Drosophila melanogaster: one gene and its partners. The protein of the gene in region 3 interacts with the protein of the main gene of each other region in a pairwise test. Each region holds a gene or a part of one and is shown on either strand. Other genes may lie near its edges.

Evidence for each region.
Region 1: the proteins of Doc1 (region 3) and CG9106 interact in a two-hybrid assay, tested with the Drosophila melanogaster proteins (one large-scale study listed by BioGRID).
Region 2: the proteins of Doc1 (region 3) and Poxn interact in a two-hybrid assay, tested with the Drosophila melanogaster proteins (one large-scale study listed by BioGRID).
Region 4: the proteins of Doc1 (region 3) and CG5890 interact in a two-hybrid assay, tested with the Drosophila melanogaster proteins (one large-scale study listed by BioGRID).

Annotation. Positions count from the first base shown.
Region 1 is NC_004354.4:15,268,677-15,275,671, forward strand, and holds CG9106 (uncharacterized protein), read right to left. Parts: upstream 3,730-6,995; 5' UTR 3,311-3,729; intron 3,239-3,310; 5' UTR 3,155-3,238; coding exon 2,723-3,154; 3' UTR 2,360-2,722; downstream 1-2,359.
Region 2 is NT_033778.4:15,830,624-15,838,975, forward strand, and holds the start of Poxn (Pox neuro), read right to left. Parts: upstream 4,433-8,352; 5' UTR 4,060-4,432; intron 891-4,059; 5' UTR 421-890; coding exon 408-420; intron 1-407. UniProt on the Drosophila melanogaster protein: Transcriptional regulator that specifies poly-innervated organs (chemosensory bristle). Also controls the number of neurons.
Region 3 is NT_037436.4:9,038,227-9,047,662, forward strand, and holds Doc1 (Dorsocross1), read left to right. Parts: upstream 1-3,148; 5' UTR 3,149-3,313; coding exon 3,314-3,404; intron 3,405-3,602; exon of another isoform or gene 3,603-3,671; intron 3,672-3,806; coding exon 3,807-3,972; intron 3,973-5,161; coding exon 5,162-5,429; intron 5,430-5,497; coding exon 5,498-5,635; intron 5,636-6,118; coding exon 6,119-6,631; 3' UTR 6,632-6,816; downstream 6,817-9,436. Other genes in the region: Argk2 (arginine kinase 2), read left to right, coding at 9,270-9,436.
Region 4 is NT_033777.3:25,852,160-25,860,489, reverse strand, and holds the start of CG5890 (uncharacterized protein), read right to left. Parts: upstream 4,337-8,330; 5' UTR 3,517-4,336; intron 1-3,516. Other genes in the region: CG5886 (uncharacterized protein), read right to left, coding at 6,746-7,673, 7,916-8,062, 8,170-8,330.

The DNA of each region.
Region 1 (6,995 bases), on a different chromosome or scaffold from region 3:
TGCTTATCTACCCCCATGCCCCACCAAGCCCGTGGAAATCCTGCCGCCTTCTGCTCGTTTTTGGTCCTTGCAGCTTCATCTTCATCCGCATCCGCATCCACATTGCTTCTGCTTTATTTTGGCTGATGGAAATATTTTTACGACAAGTTTTTCGCGAAGATTTGCAACATTTGCAGAAAACGGAAACGGCAGCCAGCCAACGGAAGTGGATGTGGCACTGAAAGTTGCGCAAATCAGCGCAAAAACAAAAAAAAAAAAAAAGAACGAAACGAAACGAGGGAAAACCCTGGGAGTGGTCTCTGCTCAAATGGAACGCACATTTTGGCCATAAAACGCTTAACGTTGATGTGTTCGCCTTGATCAACCTTTGACCCCGGCTCAGGCTGACCCCGGATGTTGTCAACTTTTATGCTAACATTACATTCGGTGGACAGCATTGGAATGACAGCCGTGCCCCGCACTTTTCGCGTCCATGAATTTTGCATGCGGCAGCAGAATGCAAAATTATAATTAGGCAGCCGCGTGATGCGAGCGAAACAAGAGATATGGCCCTTTCTTCCCTTTCTCCCCTTTCTCCACTTTCTCCCTTTTTGCTGCCAGTCCGATTTTACAGTCAACGCACGTTCGGGCATAAAGTACATTTTATTAGCTTGCCTTTTGCATCGGCCATCGGGTGGGTGGCTTAGTGGTGGTGCTGCATCACTTCCAACTGGCCTCTAATTTCCAGCTGCCGGATGACACGTAATTGGTGTGACCAGGGCACAGGAAGTTTCGGGAGAAACAATTACGTTGCATTCGTTGCAAAGTGTGATCAGCAAACGAATAGCTGGAAAAAGCATTCACATTTAATTACAACTTTGGATAATGTACAACATACAGGCAATTGAAGGAATCAATTGTACAATAGTTTTGCAAAATTAGTGTGGCCAGGCTGTGAAAAGTTGTCACTTAACTGTTTGCCTTAACGGAGAAAATAATTACACGAATGTAATTAGTTGATGTAAAAAGGTAGTTGTAGCACATTTAAGGCTCCTGCTAATTCAAATCAAAACGATTCCCTGCGAACCTTCGAAATTATTTTTGAAAGCACCAAAACACTTTGGTCACACTTAGGTAGATACCTTTCATACGATTTGATTCGCTATAGTTTCTCCCCCGCTGGCAACGCTGCGTATGCGTAATAATTTTTTAGTTGCGCCACACCCGACACGAAGCCCATGGCAATGCAAATAAATATTCAATTGCAAATGGCTGAGGGGGCGGACAGTACACTCCTCTCTTAGGCTGTATTTTTTTTTTATTGTTGGTTTTTTTTTTGCTATAAAAGCAAGGGAGAAAGTAGGGAAGGTACACGCGAGGCGGACGCGCTCAAATTGCAAATTGCGCTCGTTTACAAGCGAAATAAATGCGCGAGCGCCTGCCATTTGGCAAAAGTCAGCCATGCTCCACACACAGATCCTGACCCACCGCATTTTCCGCTTTTCCACCGATTCCCGCCGCCAGCGAATGGCATTAGAAAAATGAAGCGTCGTGCCGCAAAAGACAAGTTGGTCGTCGTCGTTGCCTCGCTCGACTTGCTTGGCATTTTTGTGTTGCGTGCTTTTGGGCGCGTAATTAGATAAGCAGCCAGCCTGGATATGGGTCCTGTTTATCCATGCCCCAGCTCCTTGCCGTGTCCTGGCACGGTGTCACCAGCCAGCCAGCCAGCCAACTGAACAACCAACAAGCCGCTGACAGATGGAGCGTCATAAAAGCGGCAACAACAATGCGCCGCAGAATGTCTGAGGTTAGGAATAGCGGCAAAGTGGTGGGGCGGAAATGGGAAATGGAAAAGCCGAGACAAGACCAACCAACCAACCAACCAACCAACCGACCGACCGACCAAGCGAGCGAAAAGGGAGTGTAAAGCGGTGACGGGGATTTGAATTTGTCACGTGGCCGGCAAACGCACCTGGGCACAAAGGGGCGGACAAGGACACAACATGCAATTATACGCAATCAACATAAATCATTCAAATTGCCACGCACACACACACACTCGCAGAAGAGGGAAAAATAATGGTAAAGAAAAGTCGAGACGCACTTCAAAAGGGGGCGGCTGTCGGTGTGGGCGTGGTGACCGTTGACGTTGGCTTTTGGCTAATTTGCAATTGAAATGCCCAAATTCTGTGGGCTGGCCGCATTACGCATACGCCGTGTGGTGTCTGCGTGGCAAAGGCTCCTTAAACTTCCGCTCAGTCCATTCATCTTCCACCCCCGCATTCCGAGTCGACTGACAAATGCCACAGGGGCACGTGAAGCGGCCAGTGACCAAGGTAAATGGCACCCATACTGTCCATAGAGATTTCTTTATAAATTTCCTTTATTTTATTATTATTTTTTTTTATTTTTTGCAATTAATTACGGAATAACCTTGCAGATTCGTATACTATTTCTAGTAATTGCTGCCTTCGGAAAAATCACTTAACGCCAGGAACTTAAAATTTAGAGCAGGGAATGTAGCAAGAAAAAACAATCGACGTTATATTGCCAATGCCACGTATTTGGCGAATACTGAATTCCTAGATTTTGCCAACAGTGCCAAAGTTCAAATGACAGTTGCCATGGTCCAGCTTATAAACCGTACAAGCCAAACGGAGCTAATCAAGAATCCATCAAAACCATCGTCCATGTGCGGTACACTGCAATCGCTTCAACGAAGAATCTGGTTTATGCATCACCATCAGTCGAACAGAACGTCCATCGGTATGCCATAAATCTCGGCCAGCTGCAGTTTGGTGTAGGCAACAACGCCGCTGGGACAGTAGGCCATCGCCTCCTCCAGAGTGACCCACTTGGAGCTTGACTCACCGGCACATACCACATGCAGATAGACGATACCATCGAACATCTCATGGCTGATGATGCCCATCAGGTTGCTGGGGGTGCCGCTACTGACGTTTCCGGCGGTGTTGCCACTACCGTTACCATCACCGTTACCGTTACCGTTTCCGCTTCCGCTTCCGTTTCCGCCAATGATGTTGCCGCTCTGGCTCCCAGCGCTGCTCATTCCATCGCCGTTGCCACCGTCGCTGCCGCCACCGCTGCCGCCACCCACGCTGCTACCGCTGGCATTGGCGTTCGAAGAGGTGGACGGATTCAGATTGATGACCATCCTGGAAGGGCAGCGGTTCGGGATATCTATGAGGCAAATATCGAATGCAGCCAATTAACTGAGTGTATTTATAATTATTTGGATCTAGTAAGCCGAAAAGTATTTCTTATATATATTTAACAACAATACTTATATTATAAGTGATAATTAACTCACCTGAATATAAAACTATCAAAAGTGGAAAAGAAATCGGATTGGAAGCAGTTATCAAAGTGGCTCAATACTGAAGCTTCGTTGCTGGTTGCTACCTTTGGCCTTCTGGACGGGATGGTCCGTGGTTGGATTCTCGGTTAGTCCTTCGGAAACCGTAAACTTTGAACTTTGAACCTACGAATTTTGTACTTTGCTCGGTGCGATCCAATGAGACTCTGGTGCAGTGATGTGCTGCTTAGGGATCTGTTATACACTTCTCGACGTTCAAGTCGCACGCGATTCTAGTGCAACTCTCTAATTAGCTAGATACAATACCAAGTTATGATTTTTGTTTCGCTGTTTGATTCTTTTTTTTTTCGATTTTCCTCTATTTTTTTTCACTTTTGTTTAAACGGTGTGTGTGTATTTTGTGTCGATTGTGTGTGTTGACTACCTAGATGATTTTAACTTATGAAATGAGCCATGACATTAATCTGGCATTCTTTTCAAAGCCAGCTGGTACATTTTGTTTCGACGATGAAATGAGAGACACAAATATCGCGAATATTCAAGATTTTGGTAAATTAATAATTCTTATGGCTATTTCATTAATTCATGACACTGCACATTCTAAGTTAGACTTTAAAGTAAGTGCAGTAAGTGTACTATTTAAGTGCAAAAAGGCAAACAAAGTTTTCAAGGATTTTTTTTTTTAGTGTTTTCCTCAGAAAATCCCCATACCATTCACAATTTTTTGACATCGCCCGGCAACACGGGTGTTTATGAATGTGCCATATAATGTTTTGCTTCTGCCAGCAGCACCAAATGAACTGAACAAATAAAACTTTCACGGCAAAGTTGTTGACACGGCAGCCTCCTCCTCTTCCGATTTGCAGCTGCAATTCCTCACCTTCATGTTCACGCTTAGCTCTTTATTTACGATTGCAGGTGCAATGCGGGAAAAGTGCAGGAAAAGTATGGGAAAAGTGTGGGAAAAGTGTGGGAAAAGTGCGGGTGTGGGCGAGAGGAAAAGCAAAGTAAAAGCACCAGAGCTGAGTTTAAGTCGCGGGAGCAGGGGTCCCAAAGCAATTAAATCGCATTCGCCGTGTGGAAAGCAAATAGGATTCCGGGTGGGGCTTTGAATGTGGAGTCCGGACAGAGACAAACAATCAAACGGAAATTAATTGCGGTATGTGTGAAAAGTGAAAGCCAAAAGCTGTTCGGTAAATGATTGTCGAGCAGCGAGTTTTACCCCGGTTTCCCCACGACGACTTTAATTCTTAAACCCTGATTGATAGCTAACCTCGTCCTGGAGCAATGACTTCTGCTCTCCAGCTCTTCAGAATCGAAATGAAACCAAGATAGTATGCTGACATCCGAAAAGAAGTAAATTTTTACCACTGCATAGCCACACAAAGCGAAAACTTTTACACAGCAACCATGTAATAAAATAAGTCTTCAGAATTCGATGGGTAATCTTTTCAGCTGCTTTTTGGTCATTCAATATATGCTTTTCGTATTTAGAGGCATTTTGCTTACTCATTGAACTTATGTATGTGAAACACAGCAATTTTCCACACTTGTGTCATGGCATTGCCAAAAAGCGATAAGGGCGAAGGGTCGAAGTTTAATTAATACACCATTACGTGCTGTTTTTGGCCAACAATGGGTGGGTAAGCTTACCATTCGTTTTGAGATGCGTTGCAGCCCAATTTTGTCAACGTGGCCATAGCTGTATCCACATCCGGATCCGGTTCACAATGAGACGACGACTCATTGGACCGGCAGTGAGTTATATCAAAGACACTAGAATAACAAGATGCGTAACGGCCATACATTGGTTTGGCACTATGCAGCCACTTTTTTGGTGACGGCCAAAATTACTCTCTTTCCGCTCACTCCCGCTGAGAGCGTAAGAAACCTAAAAATATAATTTGCTTGCTTGTGTGAGTAAAAACAAGAGACGAGAACGCGTATAAGTGTGCGTGTTGTGCTAGAAGACGATTTTCGGGCCGAAATCAATTCTGATCGAAGAAACGAATTTACATGGTACATATTAGGGTAGTTTTTGCCAATTTCCTAGCAATATGATAAAATAAAAAAATTTTTTAAAATTCGCGCCCTGACTATTATAATTTTAAAGCTTTTTAAATTTGTTTGTTAAAATTGCCGCTCGAATTAGCTACCGTTTACACATTTATATTTATGTTTAATTCTAATTTTTCTCTCATCTGACAATTTTTTAAAAGCTAAATATTTTTTTTGAAACACTTTTAATGTTAATGTTACATCATATTAAGTCAAATGATTTAATAAATATACTAAATAATTAAATATGCAATTAAATGAAATTGCAAAAGTAATATCAAAGACAATAGAATTATTCTAGTGTCTTTGCTTTGTTCATATCTTGAGGCACGAAGTGCGGACACAAGCACTCAACAATCATTACCTTATTAATTTTTCACACGCCGCAAGATGAATACTCTAATGACAAATATTCTTATATAAAGTCATTTTTGAAATTTATTTTTGTGATAATATGTACATAGATTTGAGTATTTCTAATCTATTTTCAAATAATAATAACGTTAAGGCAATGCAAAACAAGAATTTTTCGCATGGTGCCAATTGATCAAAAATAATATAGATTTAAAGCCAAAGAACTTCTAAGGTGAAGGGCATATTTTTTCAAATTTACAATGCATGTGAATACGTGTGCACACATACAGATGTCTGCTATCACTTTGTGCGTTGAAAAGAGCTGTTCGCTGTAGCGCTCTTCGCTCTCTCGCTCTCTACCAAAAATTCGAGAGAGCCTGGAGCCACCTCTAGAGCCACGGCCAAAAAATCGTGTGCCAAAAAATCGTATGGCGTTACGCATCTTGTTATTCTAGGGTCTTTGGTTATATCTTCATGAAAGATTTGACAGTTGCACCAGCAGTCGCACCCAAGGGGCCAAATTGAGTACGTGGAAGGAGTATCGCCTCCATTGCCTCGGTTACACGCCTGGTTTGACTCCAGCATCCGACGCTGCACTGCTCTGCGCCATCCAAGCGTTTCATATTGCCACCTGCCACCCAACTGTGCCACATGCCACCAGCCACCAGCCTGCAACCTGCCACCTACCATCCCACTCGCTACCCACTTGCAGTCGCACTCAGTTCATAATGCTGTCAAGGTTGAGCGATGCTGAAATATTGAAGCCTGCCCTTTAAATATTCACGATATTCGTGGCTTGATGGGCGGTATTGGCGTTGGCTTTTGCCCGAAGCAGGTGATGCCGTAGTGAAAACCGTCAAAATGCCGAGCATTAACTTGTCAACTTGGTTGAATTCATTCTTAGCTGGCAATCTGCTCAAAAGTATTTACATTCGATTGCCAACAGTGGCATCGTCATATGCAGCTATAGAAAATGTTATAATACGCACTTATCTGACATTATATTTGTAACTTTACGTTTTATGAGTAAGTGTTTACATATCTGTGATCTATTTTGCTTGTTGGTTGGTCTTCATAGTGAACATGTGTTGCATTGCATTCACCAAGGTGAGCGATATAGTGTGACCATACAATTGGTAAAATATAATTTTAATAGAATATCCGACAAATATTTAGAAGATTTCAAGATAAGAAGAAGATAAGAAGATTTGTATTTGTATTTGTATTATTTAGTAAAAGGCATAACCTAGTTTCATTAAAAACAAAA
Region 2 (8,352 bases), on a different chromosome or scaffold from region 3:
ATACTTAGAAAGTATTGTCTTAAACTGTTAGTGTTAAGCCATATATTTGGAAGTAAATTTTGCTAGACAAATGGAGCTTATAGTGGGAATTAAAAGCGCCTAAGCCTCCCAATAGAGCGAATAAAGTCTGGAAGATTTACAGTGGGCACACGCGTCTGGGCCAAATACCCGCAGTTTGGCAACCGCCCTGTTGACTTGGCTAATCTCTTTCCCACCTTTCTCCCCTCCTATCAACCCGCGGTCATAAACGCAGGCGGCAAAAGTGCGCCAGTAATAACCGTGGCTCTTTGTGGGATCTCGAGTTTTTGGTTATTCAGGGGGGAGTACGTGAAATGGGGGACTGCGACTGGAGATGGCATCTGATGCTTTCGTTTAATTTCCTTTTGAAGTTCATTAGCGAGACTCACCTGTATGCGGCATGGCTGAAATGTGATCAACAATTCAATTCAATGCGAGCCAATCCAATCCAATTCAATCCGAAAGTGATTCGATACGATCCGATGCTATCGGTAGTCGCTCGCAGTCGCTTAGCCTCCGTAAAGTATTTTGGTTTATTTGCTGTTGGTTGTTTGTCTTAAGTCTTTTAATTTTTTTGTCTTTCGTCCCGTTGCTGCTGATGCTGCTGCTGCTGCTTAGTTAATCGCTGAATTTTAATCAAATTTCAAGCAAGAACGTCATAAAAACGCTTTGATGGATGTCGTCGTGGTCGCCGGGCTATTAGGATGCTCAGTCTCAGGCCCAAATGGCGTTGCTCGAACTGATGTTCGATGCTGGATGATGCTGGCGGCCCACTCCCCGAAGACTTTTTACGGCTTCCACGAATTCGGACGGCGTCCAGGCCCGGCCAGAACCGATCCGATCCAAGACCAAAACCAAAAACCAGTGAAAATCTAGTAAGGAAAATACATAAAACTTAATTATTTTATAAAACTACGCGGCCGAAGGTTTTAATGTGCAGTGGTTTATGTGCTCAATGGCCATGTCCAGTGACCAGTGACCAGTTACCACTGGCCATTGCCCAGCGCCCAGTGCCAGGGAGTATCTCAAATTAGCTGCTTATCAGGCACATTCCGAGCGCAGCGTGAACTGCTGGCCCATTATCGAGAAGGTCCCCCCCCCCCCCTCCATCTAGGCCAGGTCGCTATAGTCGTACTCCTAAGTATAGAGTTAGCCAGGCAGGGGTAACAATTAAATGAATTTTGGCCAATTGCTCATTTCGTTAAATATGCAACCGGCCCAAAAGAGATATGCAAATGGGCTTTCAGCACCACCAACTTGCGGCCGGTGGTTTCCGCTTCCTGTTTTTATTTTTTTTTTTTTTTTCTACTTAATGCTTTTTGGGCCAGGATTTGAGCCTGTCGCCAGCCTGTCAGAGGCATGAAAACGCGCTGAAGAACCGTATAAATCAAAAACTGTAACTGCCACTGCCGGCCGACGGTCCACACTTTGTCATGGCCATGTTATTATGGAATTCACATTTGATTTAATTGCCGAGCCCGGGAGTCCTTCGTCCAGCTCCCTTGCCGCTTTTCAGCTCGTAAAACCACCGAAATGCGCGTGTTAAGCCACCGAACCACCGCACGCACCACACACTCCCCCTTTGAAATAAAAAAAAAAAACGGAAAAAACACCAAACAGAACGAGAAAAAAAGAACTCGAAATTAAGTTGTTCATTAGGTTTTTTTTGGACCTTCTCAGTCTCCGTCTCAGTTTTTCGGTTACCACTCACCGCGAACGGGAAACTCGTGCTGGCCGTTAAGGCCATAAAGTTAGCAGTTGGCCCGGGGCCACGATTTGGCCGACAGTGCGATAAGGATTGCAAATCCACTCGGTTTTGTAGAAAGTGAAATAGACATTCCGGCCAAATCCAATTTGGCCGCAATGAAAGGGTTAATTTCCCCTCTGGCGTGCTGCTCGCCCATTTCTCTGGAATTTTTCGTGGCCCAATCGAGGCCAGTGAGCAGTCAAAACTAAATAGTTCCGGACATAGTAGCAACCCCTAGAAATATGCGACTATTCCACTTGCTTTGCCACTTCTACACGTGTTAATTATCAATTATTGGGTACGATCCATCCTTAGAATGCTGAAAAATGTATCTTGCAGAACACAAAAACCTAAATTTGAGGTATTACTTTTGGAAATATATCTAATCTAACTAACAAGCAGTGATCCAAAGTATCTGGTGAGACCAAAAAATCCCCTCTAATTTTAAGAGACCTTATAAAATGTGAACGCGTAGCAAAGGTTTTTTCCAGATCCACAACGGCTACAATTTTAAATGTTGAATGCGATCTTGAGGCCAAATTGCGAGTTATATATATAGGGATGTTGCTAATCTGGGTTCTCGAGAACCGCTTTCTGGTTTTCAGGGGGGATAATATACGAGTATAATTAGTATCTTCCCCAAGTGCTACCGATTTCTCCACAATCCTCAACTCGTAAGTCTCAATTAGCTCCGTGCACATGTCAAGCGGAACAGACATAAAAACCGATAGAAATTAGTTAAACATACAATAATTTAAATTCGTGCGATTACCGAAAGTGGAACCGACAGGTTGGCCGAGCTTCTGTTTCGGAACCCTCTCCCTTGATTTTATTTTTTATCATTTGCTGCCCCCCCCGCAGATCAATGGATCGATCGAAGCCAGAGCCAAGCGGGGCATTAACAGCCGCTAATTAAAATAAAAAAATTATAATAAAACGTACGCTTCACCATTTGAATATGATTAGCTTGCTCTTTCTGGACCACGCTTAAGTAAGTTGTCCGACGGCTCGTTGCCTCGTTGCCGATGGCCAAAAGCCCCGAAAGCCGGTGGCTTGGGCTTTGGCTTAGAAAGCACACAAGTCAATGGGCCATAATGGCAGCCAGAAACGACGGCATGACAAAGAATTAATTAGCATACGATTTTTGACTTTTGTCGCTCGCCGTGGTCGTGGGAAAACTAAAGTCTGGCCAAAAAGGCAGTCATCGATCGTTGGCAGTCTGGCCAACGATCGATTGGTCCGCTTTAAATGAGTTATCTCGGTGCGGCGGAAGTTCAATTGGCCGTAGTTTTGCATTGCAAATTCGATTCAGGCCATCCGGTGGCATCTTCCACTTCATTCACAACATGAATATTATTCGAATATTATTGGAATCGAATCTTGGCCGAAACTAACGCCGCCGGTTGAATGAAGATCGCCCCGTTTGGTTCCGTTCAGACTCGATCCGTTAGATCAGATCGTCGTTCATTAAGAAATAAGCCGATCGATGGCAGGGCGTTGGGTCTGGGGGGACGAGGTCGGACTTGAGACCGATGTGTCGAACTCGATAAGCAAATATCGTTATTAAAGTCTTTCAAAAACGCCGCAACCTGATCGGGAGCGACTCGATTTTTAATGATTTAGTTGTTGAGAAAGCAAATTATGCGCAAACAAATTGATTACGATCGTTTATGGTGGTCATTATGGGCAGGTCGATGGATGCGACCAGATCTTAATTAAGACGCCGATAAGTCATCGTCGTTAGCTTTTGTCAAGTGTTGGCATAATATTACGGATTAGAATGTGTCTGCACTCAAAATGCAATGTGTGCACTTTTCACCAAGTTCAATTAAGCTTATCTGGTCTCGAGTAGAAAACGAGATAGCACATCTGGCGTAAAATCCAAATCAACAAAATATACAATCTAAAAACTTGTCAGTGAACTAATAAAGTTGTCATCTAATTTCATTTAATGAAGCAGATTCAAATAAAAGCTCAAATTTATTTTCAGATCCAAGCAAATGTATTCTAACTAATTTATGCCAATAATAATGACAATTCGTTATAAACGATCTATGGAATATTATAACAGATACTTGAATCTGCTAGTTTTTTATCTTTTTATGTTCTATTTTTTATAATCTAGATAGCAAATGAACACTTAAACTTTACCAATTCAACATAACTTGGTGAAGCTCAATTTAAAAACGTTGTGCAAGCATAAAAGCTTGACCAAAAACGGATAATCTTCCATGAATAGTATCTTTCCTAGATGGTTATACTTTTGAAATATATAATTCAAAAGATGTGCTCACCTTAAACTTAGAGCACTGAATTCGCCGGCTATCCAATAACTTTGCCGCAACTTGGTTCGAATCCTTTGATCACTTGAGCACAACACTTTCCGCTCGAGTTTTGCATGCACCGTGTGGCTTATTCCGCGGATAATGGCCGATTACTCAGTTCGGAGGCGCGACGGCTAATGGCTTCTGTATGATTCTTATTTGGGAGTTCGGAACGCGACGCACCTTGTCACTCGACCGTCAAAAATTCGACTAACTGCACGCGAATCGCGGGACCGGCGCATCGATTCGATCAATTTTTGTGGCAGTGGCAGTGGCGGTAGCAGTGGAAATTGAGAGTTGGCTTCGTGCCTCGCCCGCGGTCCATCAGCCGACAATTTCTACTGAAGCGCCGCCAAGCAGAGCGGCCCAAAACGCCACCGAAAAGCCGCCGCTCACTAACACACTCGTAATACGCGGCCCGCACACACTGACACAAGCGTTCACGGACTCACGGACGAACCGTTTTTCTGGTGTAACCGGTTTTTCACGGCTGCGACGTCCGCGTCGGTTTCAGCCCCATTTGGCCCACCGCCAGCCAATGAGAGCCAATCAGAGAGCTGGCCCGGTGCGCATGCGTCGCACGCTGCGCCGACGGTGAGCTGCCATTGGCCAGATTCGGCAGCAGGGGTGGGGGCCAGGTGACACGTCCTCCGGGAGCGAAATCGACACGGGCACAGTGGGTCAAGTGTGAAGCTAGAGGCTAGTGGGCTAGGTCGATTTCAACAGCATAGAAAACCGCATTGAAATTAGGGGTAATTACGTAAAGCCACTATATTCAGAGAGTGACTAATACGCAGTTACCTTTGTAGATAAACATTGCTAATCTGGTTAGTTGATTAGTTGGTTAGTAGTAAAAATTGTGATGATACTCAAGTGCAGCTAACTAAACTATCTTTGTGATTTAAGAGTTCAAAACTTTTTAGGATTACATTGTAATATATTTGGGAAGAAAGGAAACCTTATAGAAGCATGATACCATGACCTTTTACATTAAAGCTACTTTGAAATGTTAAGAATGAGCCACCTGATTTGAAACTAATAGTTTAGTGTCAAAATTGTTTTTCTAACTTGGTACACAAACTTAATGTTATGAGCAAAAACCGAGCAAGTTCAGTACAATCCAGCTTGCAACTTTTGCTCCACTGTGCGATTGCATGACGTCCGTGCAGCCCGCCTTCGCTCTGTGAACGCTCTGGGGGTAGTAGAATTTGGTGTGGATGGTCGGCGAGTTCCGGCCAGAGAGCGTTGCGGCAGAGCGTAGCCTTATCCGTGGCCGTTTCCGCAGCCGATGCGTTGCCGTTGCAGCCGCGTTCCGGCCAATCGGCGGAGGCAACGCAGCACGCAAACGCTCTCACTCCCGCCCCCCGCCCACGTCCTGCATCGTGTGGTTCATAGAAACTGATAGTGTATGTATCTCGCCCACTCCAAGGACCCCATCCACATCCACATCCGCATTGTGACACTGCATAGCCGTTACCCTGGCGAAACAGCCACAGCTACGGCCACAGCTACGGCTCGTCCTTGCCCACCCGCTGGAAACTCCCGGGGGAGAGGAGGAGGAGGAGGAGTAGGAGGAGCGGCAGGAGGCGGAGGTCGTTGGGTGGGTGTCGGCGTTAAGTAACGCTCGGTGGTGCCGCAGGCGTTAATTGAATTCGACAATTGTCGCTCGGCATTCACAATTGGAAATGGATTTTCACTGCGACGGCGACTGGTGCTGAAAGATAAAGCTGTCACATTGTTTGTGATTGTTCCAAGGGAGGAGTCCGGATTATTGATCCATTCGAGGTACCGAACATGATGAATGGAAATTAGTTGCCATGACTAGGAAATCAATGGTCCCTAGCAGGGGGAACTCCTGATCCACCAAGACTGGCTAAAGCCTAACCCGTTTTTTGGAGCCGCGTGGCGTATGCAAATCCACTTGCTACCAAAAACCACAAAAACCTGTGCGAAAACATGCAAAATTCTTAGGCCCACTCAGCGCGATGGCTTTCCCATGGCAGGAGGATGGCAAGAGCTTGGCAATAGCTTCTGCTGGCCAGAGATAAAACTGTCACAAAGGCCGGGTTGCCGGTAACCATTTGCCATTTACCAGCCATCCGAGCTATCCGAGCAGCTGCCTCTGACTTTTCCCAGGCAACCAAGCGCGGCGTAATAAGATCAAGCGAGTCAACCGTGCGTGGTGGCATCAACACACACCTCTCTGTCTCTTTTGGCACAGAGTCCTTTGGTCCTTCAGTCCACTGGCCCACCCAACTGGCCACGCCCAACGCCCAGTATGCTTGTTCATGGGCCACCCCCTCCGCGGGTCCTTCAACGTGTGTCTTGCCCTATCTGACAAGGCGATTATGCGACCCGGAGCCTTTCAAGTGGCAGCAATTACCCAAACTCCGGGTCGGCGCGCCCAAAAAGCCAACTACGCCCCAATTAAGGCGCACACACACAAATCTGTGTGGGAAGTGCGTTTAGCTGGGCTGTAAAAAACTGTTAAAGGATACAACTCGAAGAGAAAGTACCCTATAATTCAAATAGATCAAGCTCGTTTCGTTGCAAACAGATCTCTAAAATGCATAGCTTTCACTAAATTAAAAAAAAATTAATTTAAAAATAATAATGTAACTATAATAATTTAAACGTTAATCCATCCAAACATGAAATCTAATTATATATGTATTAAATAATGATCTGACCATCTAATTAAAGACAAATAGCTATATAAATTTGGTACGTTTTGGAACATTAAATACATTATAGATACATTTTTCATGACTGTTTCTAAAGTAAAAAGTTTAGGTTACCAGTCTATGCAATATTTCATCATACCCTCCATCAAAGGGCATTCAAATGAGCAACGGAAGTGGGTTTGCTCCGGTTTTATTAGGCGGCTGCCAGGGGGTGCAAAAAACGAGCTGTAATGAAAAGGGGCGGGACAATCGGCTTAACTTCTTCCGATTGACTTGGTTTACCATGCGCCCAAATGCGATCGCAATCGCAGAACTTACACTCGCTTATATTGTAATTGAAATGGAATCCAGTTCGAGTTGTGGTATGATTTGGGTCCGGTTTTCGACGGAATGAGGGAAGCTGAAAGAGAGGCTGCTAGACGGACTGACACCCACATCAACTTTTTGCCTAATCAAATTATGGCCAAAACCCAAAACCCATCCAGCCAAAGGCGTCGCATTCCAAGATGCGTGCCACCGAATCATTAGGTGGCATGCTAAGAAGAAAAAAAACGAGGTGAACAGAAGCTGCTCCCGATTTGTTAGCTGTTAGCCGTATTTCTGGGCGGCTCGTGCCTGGAGGTCAGTCTGCGGGAATGACTCCGGGGCAGAGTCTAGATTTCATGGTCATTAATGAGCGGTGTCCGCAGGAATGCGCCTGGGAAACGAGCAAAAACTGCGATTTTGTAGCGTGGGCGCCCATCTAATATGAAATTAGTTGCCCCAAACCGGCGGCAAATTAGCTGCTGCTATTTTTTTTCTTTTTGCATTTCTTTAAGACGCTGAGTGGGTAAAAAAAAACGGAGCCTGGTATGGAATATATTTTCTAATTGCAGGGGCGGCCTAATTGAGGGTTCGCTTCGGGGCACCCGTTCCTTGCAATCAGCAGATGCAAGCCAAGTCCCGAAAATTGTCCGAAGAAGGGACATAAACAAAAAAAAAAAAGGAACAGATATTTATATATATAAAGACAAAGGCGATTTCAGTGTGTGTGCGGGTCGCCAAATTGGCGCAGGTTACGCATGTGCCTCAAATCATGAGCATTGCTGCCACGCGATGATGGATGCAGTCGGGCAGGTTGCATTGCAGCCTCGCCTCCTGAATCCCAATTCCCGAATCCCCGAATCCTCGCATTCTCCGATCCTGTTGCACCTTGCTTCAAGGAGGCGCGTGGCCCAAAACGAAACCGAAAAACAATCGGGCAATTTCGTAAGCACTTGCCGACAAACGATAAGATAAAAATGATCTAAGGATAATGTACCTTTTCCAGGAGTCGCACAACCAGCAGTAATTTCTGACCCCATCCAAAAGGACGACGTGTAGGTGGACAAAAGGGCACGCGATTTTCGAGTGCCATAAAAATGAAAACGGAAAACTGGGACACTCGAGTGACTGGCATGTCAGAGCCAATTAATAAAAACGCAATTTCCACAAATCGAAATTTTTATAGAGTTTACAGGGTTTTATTGATCCCCCTAGAGCAGGACATTCCACACCTGCAGAGCAGAGCCCTTGGATTGGGCGGGCCGATAAGCAAAAT
Region 3 (9,436 bases):
ATTTTGAGATTCAACGATGCTTTATGCTGGCGTGGTAGAAAGCGTGTTGGAAAATTAAATCATCGTTGCTTGTGGTCTGGACTCCCGTCCCGTAGTTACCTTTGCCTTCCTGCCTTAATGATGCTCTCGACGCACCTTGAGCACCGGCTTAGTATCTACCAAAAACCAAGAAAAAAAACCTGGGGATAAAAAAAAAACAGTGAAGATCTCTATCAGCGGGTTAACTCGTTTAGCATTTAGTTGCAGGCGCCTAACCAGCTAACTTTATCGTGTAGTTTGCATCTTGATGCCCATGCCGTTTTCCCAGGACTATGGATTCTGGACTTGGCCACGCCCTGTCTTATTAGGCGCAGACAGTGTCGTTTATATCATTTATATTATTTTATGACATTTGCCTTTTGTCCGTGGTAAATTATGTGTAACTTGTAGTTTTGGCAGCTCACGATCATCTGATCTTTCGAGCATCCAGGCAGGTGACACACGGGTTTTCGTGGCCACGAACTGGTTAATTAGGGTTGTCCATGATTTATTGATCTGTCGAACTGGGGAAATGTAACCTGTCTCAATGATTATGGACATTTATAAGCTGATGGTCTTTTAATATATGAATATGGCTGGTCATTTTGATGGGCGGGTTATATGTTAATTACCTTTTGCCTAAGAGATTGTGTGGGTTGTTCGAGAGCTTCCGTCCACCCGTATACCCAATCCAAATCCCTTCTCCCCGGCAGCTAATCTTCTCTGGCCCAATCTTATCCAGCACGAACATATGTCGTTGTCAACCTCTGGCAGCTTGACCGCTACCGTTCAGCATCTGCAGATCCAAGGCGGCAGATAGCGGACTCACAAAGATGTCCTCTGGCCGAGGGACTTGGATCGTCTGGCGCCACTTGGCTACTTGAACCGAACAGAGTACCCAGAGCCAGCCACTTGTCGCGTCCTTCTCAGTGCTCTGAAGTACATTTGCTTTATGGAGGAAGGCGCGACGAAGGACAATAGAAAATTATTACTTCAATTGGCGACAGACGACTGTGCTCAGGTACATGCATCTTGAGCAACTAAAGACACCGCCGCCCACGGGACACTTCACACCCAGCAAGGCGAGACACACCGCAAAACGACCTGTCCTGGGAATCCTTGGAATCCAAGGAGCGTGGTCACTTTATGGGCTGTGCCGATGTCGCGTCAACTTATGTGTCTCTGTCTCGATTAGGTTTACTGTCGATCTAGTTTACCATGCACCCGCATGACGCAATTACACCTGATTTATCCGAAGGTCCACCTAGTGTATCTGAACAGAGATCTGCTTGCATCCCACTGTCTTTTGTGTGACATTTCTTTGTCGGTATTTTTGCAGGCGTGAAGCGTTACATTTTCAAATCAAATCTTTTGTTCTAACTGCTGCGATATTTGTATAAAAATATTTTACGATTCTCTGGCGCCGTTCGCTGCCAGAAATCTCCAGTCATCATCATCAGCTGGCCAAGCACCGGAGATATGCCGTCTCGTCCGGATCCGGAGTTGCAGTGGAGACTGGGACATGGGAATGGGCATTACTCGGAAGAGCGTGCCAGGGCGACAGCGAAATGCTAATTTAATAGAGGCTCTTCGACATTGACTTTCTTTCTAGTCCACTGAATGCGAACTCAAGCTTGAAATTATTTGCTGGCGACGAGTCAAGGAAATAAACGCATGTCTGTCGACAGATTTGTCTGATGAATGCACTTATGAGTTGAATCAAGTTCAAGATCAATGGCATTTGAACCAAATTGTATGTAGCTTGTCCTGAAAGAAAATCGATAGATAACTAATCAAATTCTATAATTAGTTCAACTGATTAAAGTAGTAATTAAAGTAAAAGTAATAGTACTAAAAATCGCAAATAAATCTTCACAGAGTTATTGTTTCTATTTTATCCAAATACAAAAATTTGTTCAGACCACAAGAAATAAGGGAAATGATAAAGAACCATTTAAAAATTAAGTTCTATAAAAATGGTGTTTCAAATAAATTGGATTTAAGTTATTCCTTTTTCTTTAAATTACAAATCATTGCATGTTTTCAATTTGCGTTGATGAATAAGTTAAGTTAAGTAAGTAAGTAAGTCTTAATATATTTTAGAATAATATAGCTATTCGTTAACGTATTTCAGTCCAATGTGTTTTAAATGATCAATGGCTCACTAAGTATCAATTATAATACTTCCTGTGAATATAGGAATGTGCATTTCAATCTACTTCCACCCGCAGGCACTTAAGCCCTCAATTTCCAATGCTGACAAGCACTAATCAATAGGCCCTCGAGCCAGAGCCCAAAAACTATATGAATTTCGATTTTCCATTTCTCAGTTTTTTTTTTTTTTGGGCAAATCAATAGCGAGGGCATAGCATATCGAAATTCCAAAACGGGCAATTAACAAAGCCAACAAAATTTATGTTTCACCTGTCTGCAGCAAAGTACATAAATACCCGAGAAATGCCAGACAATGTCGAAGATAGGGAACCCAGCTAATTACACGGGGGCATGGCAAACGACGGAGGGACAGCGCCCAAACGGAAGACGGCTGCAATGGAAATGGCAACGGACATTTTCCGACAGCGCCAAAACCAACAAAAAAACATAAAAACGAAACAGACACACAAGAAAAAAAAAGAATAAACCGAGAGGAGAAGAAAAGGCAACGGCAGCTGAAGACAGCAGACAGGCGCGCTGTGGAAAATCTCACTTCTGAATTACAAGCAACGCCATAGCCCGGCTAAATCCACATCCATATACATACATGCATACATATATCCAAGTCTCCTAACTGACAGTGATCGAGAGGGAGACAGGGAATGCGGCTTGAAGGCAGTGGCGCAGAAAAACACTGCGGCTGATGAAAATCAACAGGGCTAAGCGTTAACTTCGCCACTCGGCTGCACGCAGTTCGCTTTTCCCGCTCCTCCGCTGCTCACAAAATGGCGCCCACCGTCGATCCACCGATCTTCGCCAGAGTGGGACAACACTAGTACCCACATAGCGTAGGCGTCTTCCGCCAGCCAATCACAGGCGCTGCCCACGGAGAACCGGTTTTCCAAGCGTAGCTGCTACCTGCTTGGCATCGGGAAAAACTGGCTGCGACCCACGGCGAGTTAGCACTCGAGCGGAGCTACTCGAGATCAGTTCGTTGCGAAACGTCGAGCGTGAAAGAACCTCAGAGCGCATCTTCAGTTACGAGCGAGTGAATAACAGTGAAGAATTCCAAACTACCAGTTATTATCAGAACGTACTAAGACATTTTACCAAGTGCTATACACCGTGCAAGTGCTTCGAAATGCTTTCCATGCAAGAGCTAATGGATATGCGGATGCAGCAGCAGCTGGCCCACGAGATCTACCGCCAGCAGATCATGCAGCGGATTCCAGGTGCGTTTCTAGACATAAGGTCTATGGGTGTTGATCGAATGCCGTCGGCAAATGGTTTCGCGATTTTCAAACTAAAAAATATGAGAAAATATATGCAACCCAAAAGAGCGTACTTAAAAGTGTTTTAATATTGTGATTATTATTAGTGCTTCGGATTTTATGAGCAATAAATATTCTACTTCAATTTAACTTATCATTATAACTAGAAATTGTGGTCATAACTGCATTGCCTTTATTTTCAATCTTTGATTGAACATATCTTAATAGGTATTATATTCCGATAAAATACAATAGATAGCGAAATTCCAGCTAACTTAGAAATATGATTTCTGCAACACCCACCTCCCTGAAGAGGTCCATTGCAAACCCATGCTAATGAACTAACCAAACCGCTTCTTCCAGATCCCTTTCCATCGATGTTACCTTTCAACATGCCCCACCAGCAGCCGCACATGATGCTGCCCAGTCGTCCCACCCTGCCCGGCGTGGAGGCCAAGTTGGAGAACAACGATTTGTGGCAACAGTTCCATAAAATCGGCACCGAGATGATCATCACAAAGAGCGGCCGGTAAGTTTCATTTTCCCGCGAACCCATTATCCTATGCAAATAGCCCGAGTTTTTCCAAAAGTCAAGTGCGTCGCACGGCCTATGTAAATATTTGCTCCTGTACCAGGGCCAACTTTCCCAATTCCTATCTCATACGAGTACGAGTATGCCTATACCCTGAACCTTTCGATTTCCCGGGCCTAATGTGGCGCCTGGCCATAACTCAAAACGCAGCAGGAGCTCTCGCTCGGAGTGACAACAAGTGCAGTGTAGTCGGCGGAGGAGAACACAAGAGCAAGACGCCGCCCTGGCGCCGGTCCGATCATAAAAATCTTTCTTCTCTCGGTTTCGGCGTTGACAATCGGGTTTGGTCGATCTACCTGCGCTTTTCACACTTTGCCCACAATACCACCATACCATACCATACCATACCATTCCATGCCCTGTCCGTGACCCTTCTCCAAAGCGATGAGACCAGACCCTAGCGTATCTCAGATAGGGGAACTATCGAACAGCGACTACCGAGCGGGAGCCGAGACAAATTTACATAATTATGATCTGAACTCGAAGTTTAAGTTGCAAATGTACACGGAAAGAAATCGTGCAACTACAAGCATTATTTTTGGCCAAGGCTTAGAATATGGCTGGGCATCATAGAAATCAAGAGATCTTGAACATAAATATATATTTGTTATATATATATATATTTCGTAATATTTTATTGAAAATGATTAATATCCAGTAGAAATATTATTTTTCTGTGCTGTTTAATCCGCGATAACAGTCACTTTCTCGGCTCATTAGACATGCATTCGACGCTTGGAAGCCGTTAGGGCGACTCCCAGATTTTGTCTAATTGCTTGGCGCCAGATTGCCCCAGCTCCTCCAGCACTCTGTTGCTCCCCGTGCTCCTCCATGAACCAACGATCCACACAATTAATCATGTGCCGTTGGCATATTGTTTTGGGCTGGCAAGATCTGTTTGCGTTACCTTTTAAATCGATGCGTTGCGCTACGCAGACTCCCCGCTGCCCTCTACTTTTCGGTCCATAATTACACACTTGTTAGCCGGGGCAACAAATCACAGGCGATATGAAGTAAAATAGAATAGATGCCCGGGCGACGCCTTCTTTTGCGATGCTCCTTCCCTGATTTATATGCAGTTCGTGGCAGGCCACTTAATCAAGTCCTATTCTTTTCATCCTTACAGACGCATGTTCCCCTCGATGCGAGTTTCCCTCAGCGGACTGGAGGAGGAGGCCAGCTATTGCGTACTCCTCGAGATGGTGCCCATTGGCGATTGCCGCTACAAGTTCTCCGGTTCCCAGTGGGTTCCGGCCGGAGGAGCCGAGCCCCAGAGTCCGCAGCGCATGTATCTGCATCCGGACAGTCCGGCGACCGGTGCCCATTGGCAATCCCAGGCATTGCTCTTCAACAAGGTCAAACTGACCAACAATACACTGGACAGCAGCGGACATGTAAGTTTGAGTGAGCTCATAGTGTATCTTTTGAATGGGTTACTTATAGTTTCCATTAACATTTCCAGATCGTTTTGGCCAGCATGCATAAGTACCAGCCACGCCTGCACATCATCCGCAGCAGCGAGCTCACCCAACTTCCATGGGCTCCTCAGCAGGCGTTCGTTTTCCCGGAGACGGAGTTCGTAGCTGTCACAGCCTATCAGGTGGGTTAAAGACAACATCCTTTCCGTCCTCCATTGAGGACATGTCTGACAGGACAAAGACTCTGCGGGGGTCGTCGCCTAATTGAGGCATTTTCAAATTTGTCGCCTAGCCAGCCACTTGAGTTTGATCCTAACGAGGATCACAGTGGAACTTTTCAAGTGCCCTCCCAGCCGACGGCTACTTACTGACGCCTCGTAGTTTAAATTTCGACCAGACAAAAACAATAGAGATCGTTTTTCATACTATTTAAATTAGATTTAAAACTACGCGTTTTTTTACATATTTATTTAATCTGCAAATCTTTTTTATAAGGCCGTAAATTTATTTATTGTTCCTTTTTACGATCTAATTGAAAATTCAAGTGTTAAAAGTAATACATTTAGAGCTAATTCGTTTTAAGAATTCATTGTTGTATAAAAACTGATAGTAATTAATCATTTATGTGCTTAAATTAATTTATAAATTTGTTCTCATGCTTGCAGAACGATCGCATCACCAAATTGAAGATCGATAACAATCCGTTCGCTAAGGGTTTCCGCGAGTCGGGTCAATCCCGCTGCAAAAGGAAGCTGAACAGCAGCGGAAACTCGACGCTGGAGTCGGAGGATGATGGCTCCAGTGTGAGCAGCTGCGATTCTCCGCAGGCGAAGCGCCAGCGCCAGGATTTTGAGCAGGACTCAACGGGTAGTGTTTCGCCAGCTTACTATGGAGCAACTCATCCAGTTGCCAATCCTATGTCGCCGTATCTCCGCCATCACTTGAGCTATGGACCCAGTGGAGCTGCCGGATTGCCGCCCAGCATTGCAGCTGCCTATTTTGGTGGAGTTCCTCCGCAGATTCTGCCAATGCCACCAGCCACATATGCGCCAACTGTCGCGCCTGTTAGTCCTGTGGCCTCGCAACCCGTTGGCTCCAGCACACCCACAACATCACCAAGGCCTTCAACCTCAACGAAAAGAAATAGCTTCAGCATTTCAGCCATTTTGGCCTATTGAAAGAAATATTTGGTAAACATACTTAAGTTGGAGTCATCTTCTGTTGTGATTAGTGAGAAACGTGTGCATATACTTTGTAAGCTAATCTATGCTACATATAAGATCGTTTAAGAACCAAGCTGCAATCATATACATTGTTAATTCGTTTTAAGAGTCTTTGGTCAAAATAAACAAATCAGACATCGAATCCGTAGAAAATGCAAAACTATTTGCGGGGGGGGGGGGAGCAACGGTAACCTTCAGCGTTTCCGTTTTTACAGGTTTTTGGCCATATCGCAGTGCCTGGGCCAAAAGCAGTTATGCGACCGCTTTGGCGGGCCTAAGACAAATTAATGCTCTCCATTATGGTGACCAGTCGGTTCTCGAGTCACACGTATCTGAAAAACATCCAACTCCGGTAGTAGTTAAAGCAATTCTCCAAAGATAAGGCGTCCATTATGAGCAGCGATTTGACGGCTTTCAGGCTGTTTGGTCTTTGCCGACTCCCAGCTCCCCTGCGATTCCATCCGCATCCCTGGGACACAGAGATGACGCAGAGGTGGGTGCACGGAGAAAAAAAAGTATCACACATTTCAATTCAACTAAGTAAGTTTTGGCTTATGGTATTGCTAATAGAAATGGTTTTTAAAGTAAATTTAAAGAAAGAAAAATTCAACATTCATCTGATCATTTCAAAATCGAAGCACTTTTCTTGCAGTGCACTTGCTGCTGTTGCCGTCTTGTGAAATTTTCGTTTTATCGCACCTTTTATGGCCATTGGCCAGGCCAAAACGAAGTGGGAGCTGGCCAAGAAACCGAAACAGAAACCGATGCCGAGTCGGTTGGAGAGACTTTGGTGTGGTCACTCCTTGTGTGCATTATCGTGTCAAATGCGACAAATCTGTCTGTGGCCCGGCGGCTGCCTTTCAGCTTGCATAATTGAGCTGATAACTCGGCGCTCCGTGGATGTGTGCGGTCCACTTTTGAGCGTTTCCTAAACGGTGGCGCCAAACATTTCGTGTTTAATATTTTTAATTAAGTTTTTAAGTGCATCCAGAAGGAGATGGGACCACAGAGAATTTATCTAGCCAGTCGTTGCGGATAGTTCAAAGGGGCAACGAATCGATTTGGCTTCCATTCATAGAAATCGATGCATATATTATGCATAATGTAAGCCAAATCAGCGCGAAATAATTCACCAGCCACACGAAGCCGCGTTTCAAGCGGCTTTTTGACTAATTTGGGCTTAGTTTTGTATTAGCGCTTTGTGTTTCTCCTCGTCTTCGATTGGATTTGTTGGTGCATAAATTTACATTTGAAATGCTGAAACAATTAAATTATGGGATTTGCACGTTTTCACCCAAAAACAAAAGGGGCCAAAACAACATCAAATCACATTCGTTGTCGGCGTCTGTGCCTCAGAAGTGTTTTTTTTTTTTAATGTTAGGTGTTTTTTTGCTGACTCGCTGCTGGCTTCTTTTTGAAAAAACGGTGGCAAAAAGCGTCAAAATTCGTAGATTATGAGATAAAAATGGAAATCGAAGTCGCTCCGGTATTGCATTTCTAATTTGCGCTTGTTTTAATATACTTAATGAATTTTTATGTGTAGGTTGGTCCAATACTCATGCCCAAATCCAAATCCGGTTTTCGTTCGAAGCTGTTGATAATGATAATGAGGATAACGATGCTTTATTGAGGAGGTGTTGCCGTTCGGATCTGAATTTTATTTGCGCCACATGTTAGCATATTGTTGTTGCCGCTGCCGCTTTTGTTGTTCTTTATTGCTAATTATAATATATTTGATTTGGTATTTAAGCTTTAAGCTATAAAAATGTTCGCATTCTCTGTTTTACGAGCCAACAGCTTGCAAATATTCAATTAAATTGTGCGAACGAGAACAGGTCGAGGTGGATTGTGAAAACTAATCATAATTAACACACCTTTTTCTATAATGTTCTAAGTATTTTATTGAAATAAAAAAAGTCAAAAGGAAATAAAACATAGTTTTTGGTTTTGATGGCTTCTACACCCGTATTAAACATATTATATAATTACATTAGTAATATATATCTTAGAAAGTCTACATTTAAACAGAAGAACTGAGTGTTTTAAAACCAGTATTTGAGCTACCAATTTTCGATGGGTTTTGTATACATTTCTTAAGCATTTCCCTGTATTTTACATATTTTACGCATTATTTTACACATAATATTTTACATTTGCCATGTATTTTACAATGGTTTGGAGCCGTGCTATATGAGTACACTATCAAACAAAATTGTTTCTTAAATGCATTATTGTATTTTTAAAAACCATTAAGTGAATATCATATAACGGTTCTTTAAAAAAGTATCAATGAAAATGATTTCTTTACTTTAGCGCAAAACCATAGTTGTGAAAACAATTTTTAAATCCATGAGGAACTCAAGTATATCAAAATTTACTTTATACTTTATTTATTTCAAATTTACTTGTACATAGATTGAGTCTTTGCTTAGCAATCTCCTTTCCGATATCTATTAAAGTGGAGTTTTCAACCGTCTGTTTTTTGTTCGTACTAAATGGCGTTTTACTAGATTTATTCTAGCCATTTGGTTTAATGTCACTTTCTAACTTAGGGTCAGCCTGGCCGGTGTCATTCCAAATTCAACACCTAAAAATGCTGTTACATTTAAAACTCCGGCTTGAACTTCAATTACTAGGCCGCTGTGCGCAGCTAGTAATCAATCGCCATGCCAGCAAAGGAAATGTGGACAAGGAGGTGATGGAGCAAATGGAGAAGGGCTACAAGAAGTTGGCCGAGTCGAAATCCAAGTCCCTGCTGAA
Region 4 (8,330 bases), on a different chromosome or scaffold from region 3:
ACAAGAGCAACAAAAACAATGGCAATGGCAATAAAAAGAAACATTCAACTCTCGCAACTCATACAACTTGTCAGAAAACAGAGAGAGAAAGTGAAAAGCGTGGAAACTGCCCAAATTGGGGGGAAAATTCCGAAAAGTATGCAATATTTTTTTCCAGTTGGTCCTTCAACTTTTCGTGGCTCGTTGCTGACTTGGCAGGCCCGACATAGTAATTAATGCCTGTAAGTGGTCCGCGTGGGTGGCTGAGCATAGTTGTTGCCACTCTTTTTAATAGGCTACTTCAAAAAACCTAGTGTATGATTTAACTATGGAAGGAATGTTTATTATAGTATGGTTATACGAAAAAAAGATTTGTTTCAAGAATGGAATCATTTTGTTTTTATAGATAGAGAAATACCGGGTATGTGATAGTCGAGACCTGCACGAGCTATCTACTCATCAGCAGAGTGCTTGGACTTGGCTTGTTAATTGCATGTTACCAACATATGTTCGCTTGTAAATGTGGATTTCCGCCCATCCCCCAGTGGGGCAATTAAAAAATGTTACCAAAATGCTCGGCTGCAAAGACATTTAACTTTTCTGAAATTGCGGGTAATTTCGTTTCGTTTCGTTCTTTTCTTTCTTGCTTTCCATCGGATGTTTGTAACACATGGCGTATGTGTGTTACGGCTACAGGCGCTAACTTTCGGACAAACTTTGCTCTTATCAGCTGGTGATAAAAATATAAGAGGGAAACAAAGAAAGAAAAAAATTGGAAAAACCTCCGTAAAATGAATGTTCGTATGGGATGAATGGGGATGTGCAAGTTTTATAGACACATCTGGCGGTTGGCTATATAAATTTCAAGTTTGTTGCTGTTTGAAAGCTAAACGATTCCTTTTTTTCCTAGCTGTTGCATATGTGTGTATGTAGCACACCCGATGCCTGCACACGCATGTTTTATGGCTTTAACCATGGGAGGAGGAGTATTTTTTTCCACGATAAGTTGACCATTAATGGTCGCCAAATGCTAGCAAATTGATGTTCACGCTGGGAATGGCTTGCGGTTGCCTTTGGTGGCATAAAATGCTTACATATACATATTTAAAGCCCTTTAAATGGTTCGTGGTTATATTATGTACGAAGAAAATATAACACAATAATATTTAACGCAAATGTATGGTTTCACTTAAAAAAAGTTAAATGCGAACAACACTTTTGGTATTTTATTATAATATTCTTTGGTAACTTGATACTTGTGTGGCCTTTGGTGCAAGTTACTTAACTGAAAGTCAGTTCGTTTGAACAGGCTTAATTATTCAACGAGGTCTGGACGTTTGGCGATTGTCACGCCCTTTGCTCATTACTCACTTAGGCCAAGACAATATCATTCGATTGGGCCAGTAATTACCAGTGTCATTGAATGGCCCACACATCTAACACCCAAAGTGATTAGGCACTTTATAGCCGAAAAGCGTTGAATCACTTTGCAGCTCACAGCTGCGGTTCTCGTTTGGTATTGCCTTGCGTGTCTTTGCGTTTTCCTTAGAGTTTCCTTTTGGCCAAGGCCAAGGTGTTTTGACCTTTAACCGGTAAGTAATAGTGCCCAGATGTGCTGCACAAAATGTTTAAATTTAACATATATCATCTACCAATATTTATTTTGTGTGCTGTCATCGATGCTCATTCCAATAATTGAATATTTGAATGATCAGCCATTATATGGCGTCCACTCACCAGGTTTTTATTATATTTTATTTTATTTTTTACAGTTTCCAAGTTCATTTTTTCAATGTTGGCTCGTGTGAATTTTATTTATAACTTTTCTATTTACAGTTTCGTGTAGCATACATCCCGGCGACCGCCCCTTTGCCCCGCATTCACCCACTTGCAAAACAACAGCAGCCACTTTTATGTAGGCTCTGTACCTGTATCTGTGTGTGCGCCGTGTGTGTGAGTGGGGATGTCTCTGTGTGTGGATGAATGAAACTAGAGCGCACCTTGATTCTATTTTTAAATGCCACACAAAACAACAATTGTCGCTTAGTTGCGCGTTAAGTGTTTTTCATCCAGCTTCCCGCGACCAAGTTCATTTTATTCTTAGGATGCAGATGCAGCTTTTCTCGGCTAGAAGCACTTAAAATAGTTGGCCAGGGATTATATAAATAGATGACAGCGAATTTAGTTTGGCAAGGACCTTGTCGTGTAAAATCGCTTAAAATATATATATTAAATCTCCATATATTTGATTAATTACATAATGTGATTTACACTACTTGAAGTTACTTTTCAAATCGGTGAAATTAGATTACAATATGACCAAATCAATCACGAATCAATGTCGCACGAGTTGGAAAACTATGCCAAGTTGACTTTTTAATCGGCTTGTGCATCTAAATGGAATTGGCATTTATTTTATGGTTTATTGCCAAGCGGCACGATAGTTGCTTTTGTTGCTTATCAATTGTTGCGCACAACTTTTGTTTGTTTGTTTCCTTTTAACAGCTTGTCACGGATTAAATGACACGGAAATTGGGTTGAATAATGGGAATTTTTAATGACGCAATTTAAACGCCATGTAAAAAGAGTTTTACCACTTCTGGGAATAATTCATTTTGTAATATTGTTAAAGAAAATAAAACAAACAAATCGTATACTCAAGGAATATGTTAGTATATTCGATTCTCACCCATATATTACCGCAATGCTAAAAAATAACATATGTAAAGCTTCACTATTTTGGAAAATTATAAACAAGTTGTCGACACTTCTGCCAAAAGTTAAAAATATGTATGAACAATTTAATATATTTTCACAGTGCCGTAAACAGTAAACAATTGCAGCCAGGTGCGTCTTCAAACACAGATTCTTATTTGTTTAAATAAATATGAAAATTAACATTTCAATAGTAAATCGAAGCCTCACATCCAATTTTAAATATAATCTCACAAAAATACTCTTTGATGCGTTTTTTAAACATTTTCATTATTTTCCTCAATTATTGAATGAAAAACCTGGCACAGCTCAAACTTCAAATAGAGCCCATAAATATTTTCCATAATTTTGCGAAAAATAAACAAAATATTCCAGACTGTTTTTTCGCATTTTTCAAGGTGAGTGTGTGAATTTTCACTAGCCTGCGTGTGTGTGTGTGTGGGTGCCTCTGCGAAAATGCGATGGTGTGCGTGCGTGCGACTTTGGCGCCTAGTCAAATAAATCGCATGCGATTAAAATTTTATACAAATAGCTTTAGAAGCGTGCGTTTTGCTTTGTTGTGTTTCATTTGCCGTGCCATTTCCACCTTTTCACTGTTTGTTTTCCATTTTTTTTTTTTCATTTCTAGTCTTAAGCTGCGTTGTTTTTGGTTTTTTTATGGGGGCATGGCGTCAGTTAAATGAGTTGTTGTTTATAGTTCTTGAGCATGTGTGCGAAAAATTTGCATTTGTAGCGTAACGCTTTTGTTTACTTTGTAGGTTAGTTTGTTGGCCCATTGACTTATATACACACACTCGGCTAAAATATAACATATATATTTACCTTCGATGCCTTTTGATGGTGACGGCAGCAGCGGCGGCGGCGGCGGCAGCAGCGGCGTTGACGAAGAAAGCGGCGAAAGCAGACGGAGAAATTGGCCAAAACGGAGATGAGGGAGGTAGGAGGAGTTGGTGATGGCTGATGGTTGAGATGGGTGGTAGTGGGCGGTTGGGTGGTGGTGGGTGGTATTAACCTCAAAGCATGTCAGCAAACAGCTCCTCGAAAGCACTTGACTTGACTCCTTTCGATATTTATATTTTCCTGCCCTCCTTTGCGTGCCTCGTTTTAATTTGTTAATGATTTGGGCTTATTCATTTATTTGCATTATTTGGCGCTCACTCTTCCTAACTCTGCTTATTTGGTGTTATGTTACATTTTAGCAAAACTTGCGGTCCTGTCTCAACGATTGTTGTTGCTGTGCGGAAAATGCCAAGCAGCAAATGTAGCACGAGCAGCAGCAGCGGAAAAAGAAACAAGAGGAAAAACTGTATCTTTTAGATCCGGGCATATCCTTTATCTCGAACAGCGACTGCGACGCTGGCTGAGGCAGCAGCTGTAGCTGTAGCTGGAAAATTTCCTCCAACTTGTTTGTCTAACTCTCGCGTTGCTTTTCAAAACGATGTTTTAGCATTTAAGTTAAATTTAAAGCTGCAAGCTGCAATGATACAGCAGCAACAATCGTTTCCATATATAAAATCCAGCAAAAGAAGAACTCGATAGCAGCAAAAACCGCGCAGCGTTTTCCCCGTTTACCGTTTCGCCGTCAGACACACACTTTTCCCACAAATAAAGCCAGAAACCGTTCGACGCGCGCACGCGAGTGTCCTATACACAACTGATTACAGGACTGCGAAAATGGAAAATGTTTGCCAGCAGCGACGCTTCGGCATTCGGTTTTCCCTCGCTCGGAAAATCTCCGGCTATCGCAGCCAGGCTTCTGTTGCCGAAATATCCGGAGCCACTCCGCCGGAGACGGAGAGCGAGTTCGCCGGAGAGTGGGTGCGCACTCACTTGGGTTGCGGGCGGCACATAGGGTATAGCATAGCCCTCGGCGGTTACAGTGGACTAAGTAGCCACATAACGCATATAATTAGTTTGAATTGTAATAATATTGGAAGAGCTGTTTTAAATGGCAAATATATTTACTTGACTGACAACGTGGCGTATGAGTAATTTTTAAAATATGTTACTAATGAAAGACAGCCTGTTTGTGACATTTAAATTCATGACAACTATTATTATATTGTATATTATAATAAAATAATTATTATTTTATTATAAATGATTTTGGATAAGAGAAGGAAATATTTATTTACAAAATCTAGAAATTGTTGAATTTATATCTCGCACATAAGAAGTACTGCTGAAAGCATCTTTAAGATAGTTATGAATCTTCCAACACCCTTGAAAGTAGCCCACTGTGCAAGCAACACTCATATTCCTCATTCATCTTGCTCAGCCCGCACAATTGGCTGCCAAAAGTATTGCCACACCAGTGTCGGCGACTTCGTCCTTTCACTTGAACGCCAAAAGTGAGGCAGTCTGGCAGCCTCTACTTTTCTGGTCCTGGTCCCCAGTGAGGGTCTTCTTCTGTTACGCTGCTGTTATCCTGCAGACCGCGAGGGTCCTGAGAAATGACACCCATGAGTTCAGGATGAATACGACGCCACGACAGCCAACCAATCCTCCATTTCGCACATATGTACATATGTACATACATCGCACATACCTATAGTGTACATATGTATGTACATATGCTCGTCTGTTGGACATTTGCACTGTTTTTTTTATACCAACGAACGGACGCGTAGGGTTTACAGCCAAATGACAAGTGCTTAGTGTTTTGCATATGCGTGTGTGCGTACACTGAGAAAAATTTAGTTTTATTTTTTTGATCTTTTATTCGTATATAATTCTCATAAATAACTCGAAATTATTTTATTTCACATATCTTACAAACTAAATGTATATTATTAAAAAATAAACACATTTCTATTAAGTTGATGAAAAATTTTTCAGTGCTGGATTTAGCGGCTTGATACCCCCATTCTCATTATTCAAGCTGGAAAATGGGCAGCTCGGGGATGGGGACAAGTGTTTGAAGCACTTGGCGCACGCTTGAGCGGCTTTCAAATTTAGCGTATTAACTCATTAAATGTTCAAAAGCTCATTGCCTGCGAAATGTGCACACATTTCTGTGAATGCGAGCGAGGGTGTGAAATATGCACAAGTATGACACTTTGGCACCGAGGGGAAGACAGTTTTAATACCGCTTAATGGGCAATCGGGCGGAAGAAGCTTGAAATAAATAGAATTCCCTATACTCCTAACAATATCAAAATTTTTAATTAAATTTCTAATGACCATGGAAGAACGCTCGGGGACCTAACAATATAGGGTACAGTACATAAAACATGCTGTGAAAAAAGGGGTAAAAACAGTTGTTGCCTTGAGAGCTGGCATAATTAGTCCTTCTTTCGTATGCACCTCTTTATGCAATTTAAATTAATTTGTGTAATTATTTTAGTGACTTAACTGGCCTTATTTCAACACCCTCGCCCGCACCGAGTGACCGCTGGCAGCAGTTGGCGTTACGCATACGCCACGTTGCATGCGTCTTAAATATTTGATGGCGGAAATCTGGGGCCCGGCAAAAATGACAGCTGCGTGTTGAAAATAATTAAGGCGCAATTATAATGACCCTGGCCACGAACCGCAGGCACTCACCACTCATCACCACCGTTGAAGCCACCCCCATCCGTTCGCCTGTTGGCATTGCAATGTGTTGCATGCAACACTAGACTTTGTGGCGTCGCCAACAATGACGAAAGCAATCCATGGCCATCGAGCTTGTGCGCTCTGGCAGTTTCCCATTCCACTCCACTTATGCAAATTGATGCGAAATGTGGGCTAAGATTTATGCTTAAATCTTTTGGAAGGACATTCTGCAAATATTTACCCAAAGAAATAATTTTAATATTCTTATTCTGTTTGCAGGAAACACGTTTTACTCAATTTGTTGTTGAACAGCAATACACGATCACCGACGACATCCTTTAAATAAATACAATATACAAAGTACAATAAATAACTAGTACAAAATTCGGACCATGTAGGTTTGTAATTGATGACGTTTTTCAGTTGAGACATGGATGACACAAAATGCTTTGCAGGGAAGGCTTGGTGGCCGCCCGAGATTTGGAGATGGGACTATAGGCGAACAGTCAGTAGTTTAGTTGGCATTGGCATCGATTAGGGGAGGCACTTCGGATATATCAACAAGTGACTTTGCGGTGATAGCGTCGCCATCACCTACGAGCTCCTGGGTGTCTGTCGCAATGTCAACGGTCTGCTCCTTTTCGTTCTTAACGTTTGAGGCATCACCCGCTGCCTCTAGCTCGGCCTTTGACTCCGTTGCGGCTGATTCCTGAACGCCGTTCGCCTCACCGTTCGTTGTGGATGCTGCAGCTTCCGCCGCCGCTGCAGCTGCTGCCTTTGCCTTGGACTTTTTCTCCTTCTTGCGTATATTCTTCTTGGCATTGTTCGCCTGACGCTGCTCCTCGGCCTTCTTCTTTTCCTCAATGGAAGTCTTCGATTCATTCGTCGTTAGCAGCTTCATTTGGTTCTGCAGATTTGCCAATGTTTGCTTCAGTTCCGCACAATTGCGAGACATCATTTCCATTTTAACATTTTCAGCACTAACTGGCTTGACGTTTACTGGCTCTGGTTCAGGAGGCAACTGCGGCAGGGCGGGTATTTCGATCTCGTGATCCCGCAGGCACTTGTGCAGTGTTGTCCTCTCCAGCTGTAGAGCACGCAGTAGCTTCTGCAGCTGCTGTATTTGCTTCTGCAGGCGCTCTGAGTGCTGCGTCTGCAGACTCTTTTCTGTGGCTAAATCGATCACCATGGCATTAGCTTTCTCGTACTTTTGCCGCCAGCCCAGCGCCTCCTTCTCGATCTTCTTAGTGTGCTTGGACATCTTCTCAAGCTCCACCTTGTAGCTGCCGAAAACCTCATTGGACTTCTGCAGCGACTGCTGGAAGTCATCGTACTTGGCGGTGTATATGTTCAGTTGCTCCTTCAGTTGGTGCTCCCGATCGGTGAGATCCTTTATGGCACGTTGCGCTTGCATCAGTTTCTCCAGGCCAATCTGGTTTTCCCTGAAAGAAATGTGGAGTTTAGATATTTTTCGTGTGGATTAAGCTTTGACTAAATCATATCAAGTGAAGAGCAAACCGAGTAATATGAATTATATGCTAGCCACTCAGCTGTCCTCAATCAAAACCAGTAATCTCAGCGAGTTTGTTAAATAAAAACTTGTTTTCTAATGTGTGACCATCTATGGTCCGTTTATCGCGAGATGCAGAGAAGCGCCGGATGACCCGGCATGTTGTGCACATACTTGCTCAATATCTCCTTTTCCATGGCAGCCTCCACCTGGCATTTTTGCAGCTTGGCCTGGTGCAGCTGGGCCTCCAACTGAACCTGTTCATTGAGCTTCTCCAGGTGCTGCTCCCTCGTTTGGTACTGCTCGGCCAGCAGCTTTAACCTAAAACGGGAGACCAGATGGTTAGGGAAAATCGGAAAACAGAGAACGTGCGTGTGCAGTGGCTATATTTAGAACGCGGATCCCCGCAGCGTTGCGGCGATGCTTACTTCTTGGTCATCTCGATGTTGTAATCGCGCAGCTTGATGTTCTCCTCGTTGTTCTTGGCCAGCGACTTTTGGACATCGTTCAGGGAGCTTTGGAACTTTGTCTGGCTCTCCTTGCGCCGCTCCTCCTCCACTTTGATTTGCAGCAGGCTCTCGTTCTTTAC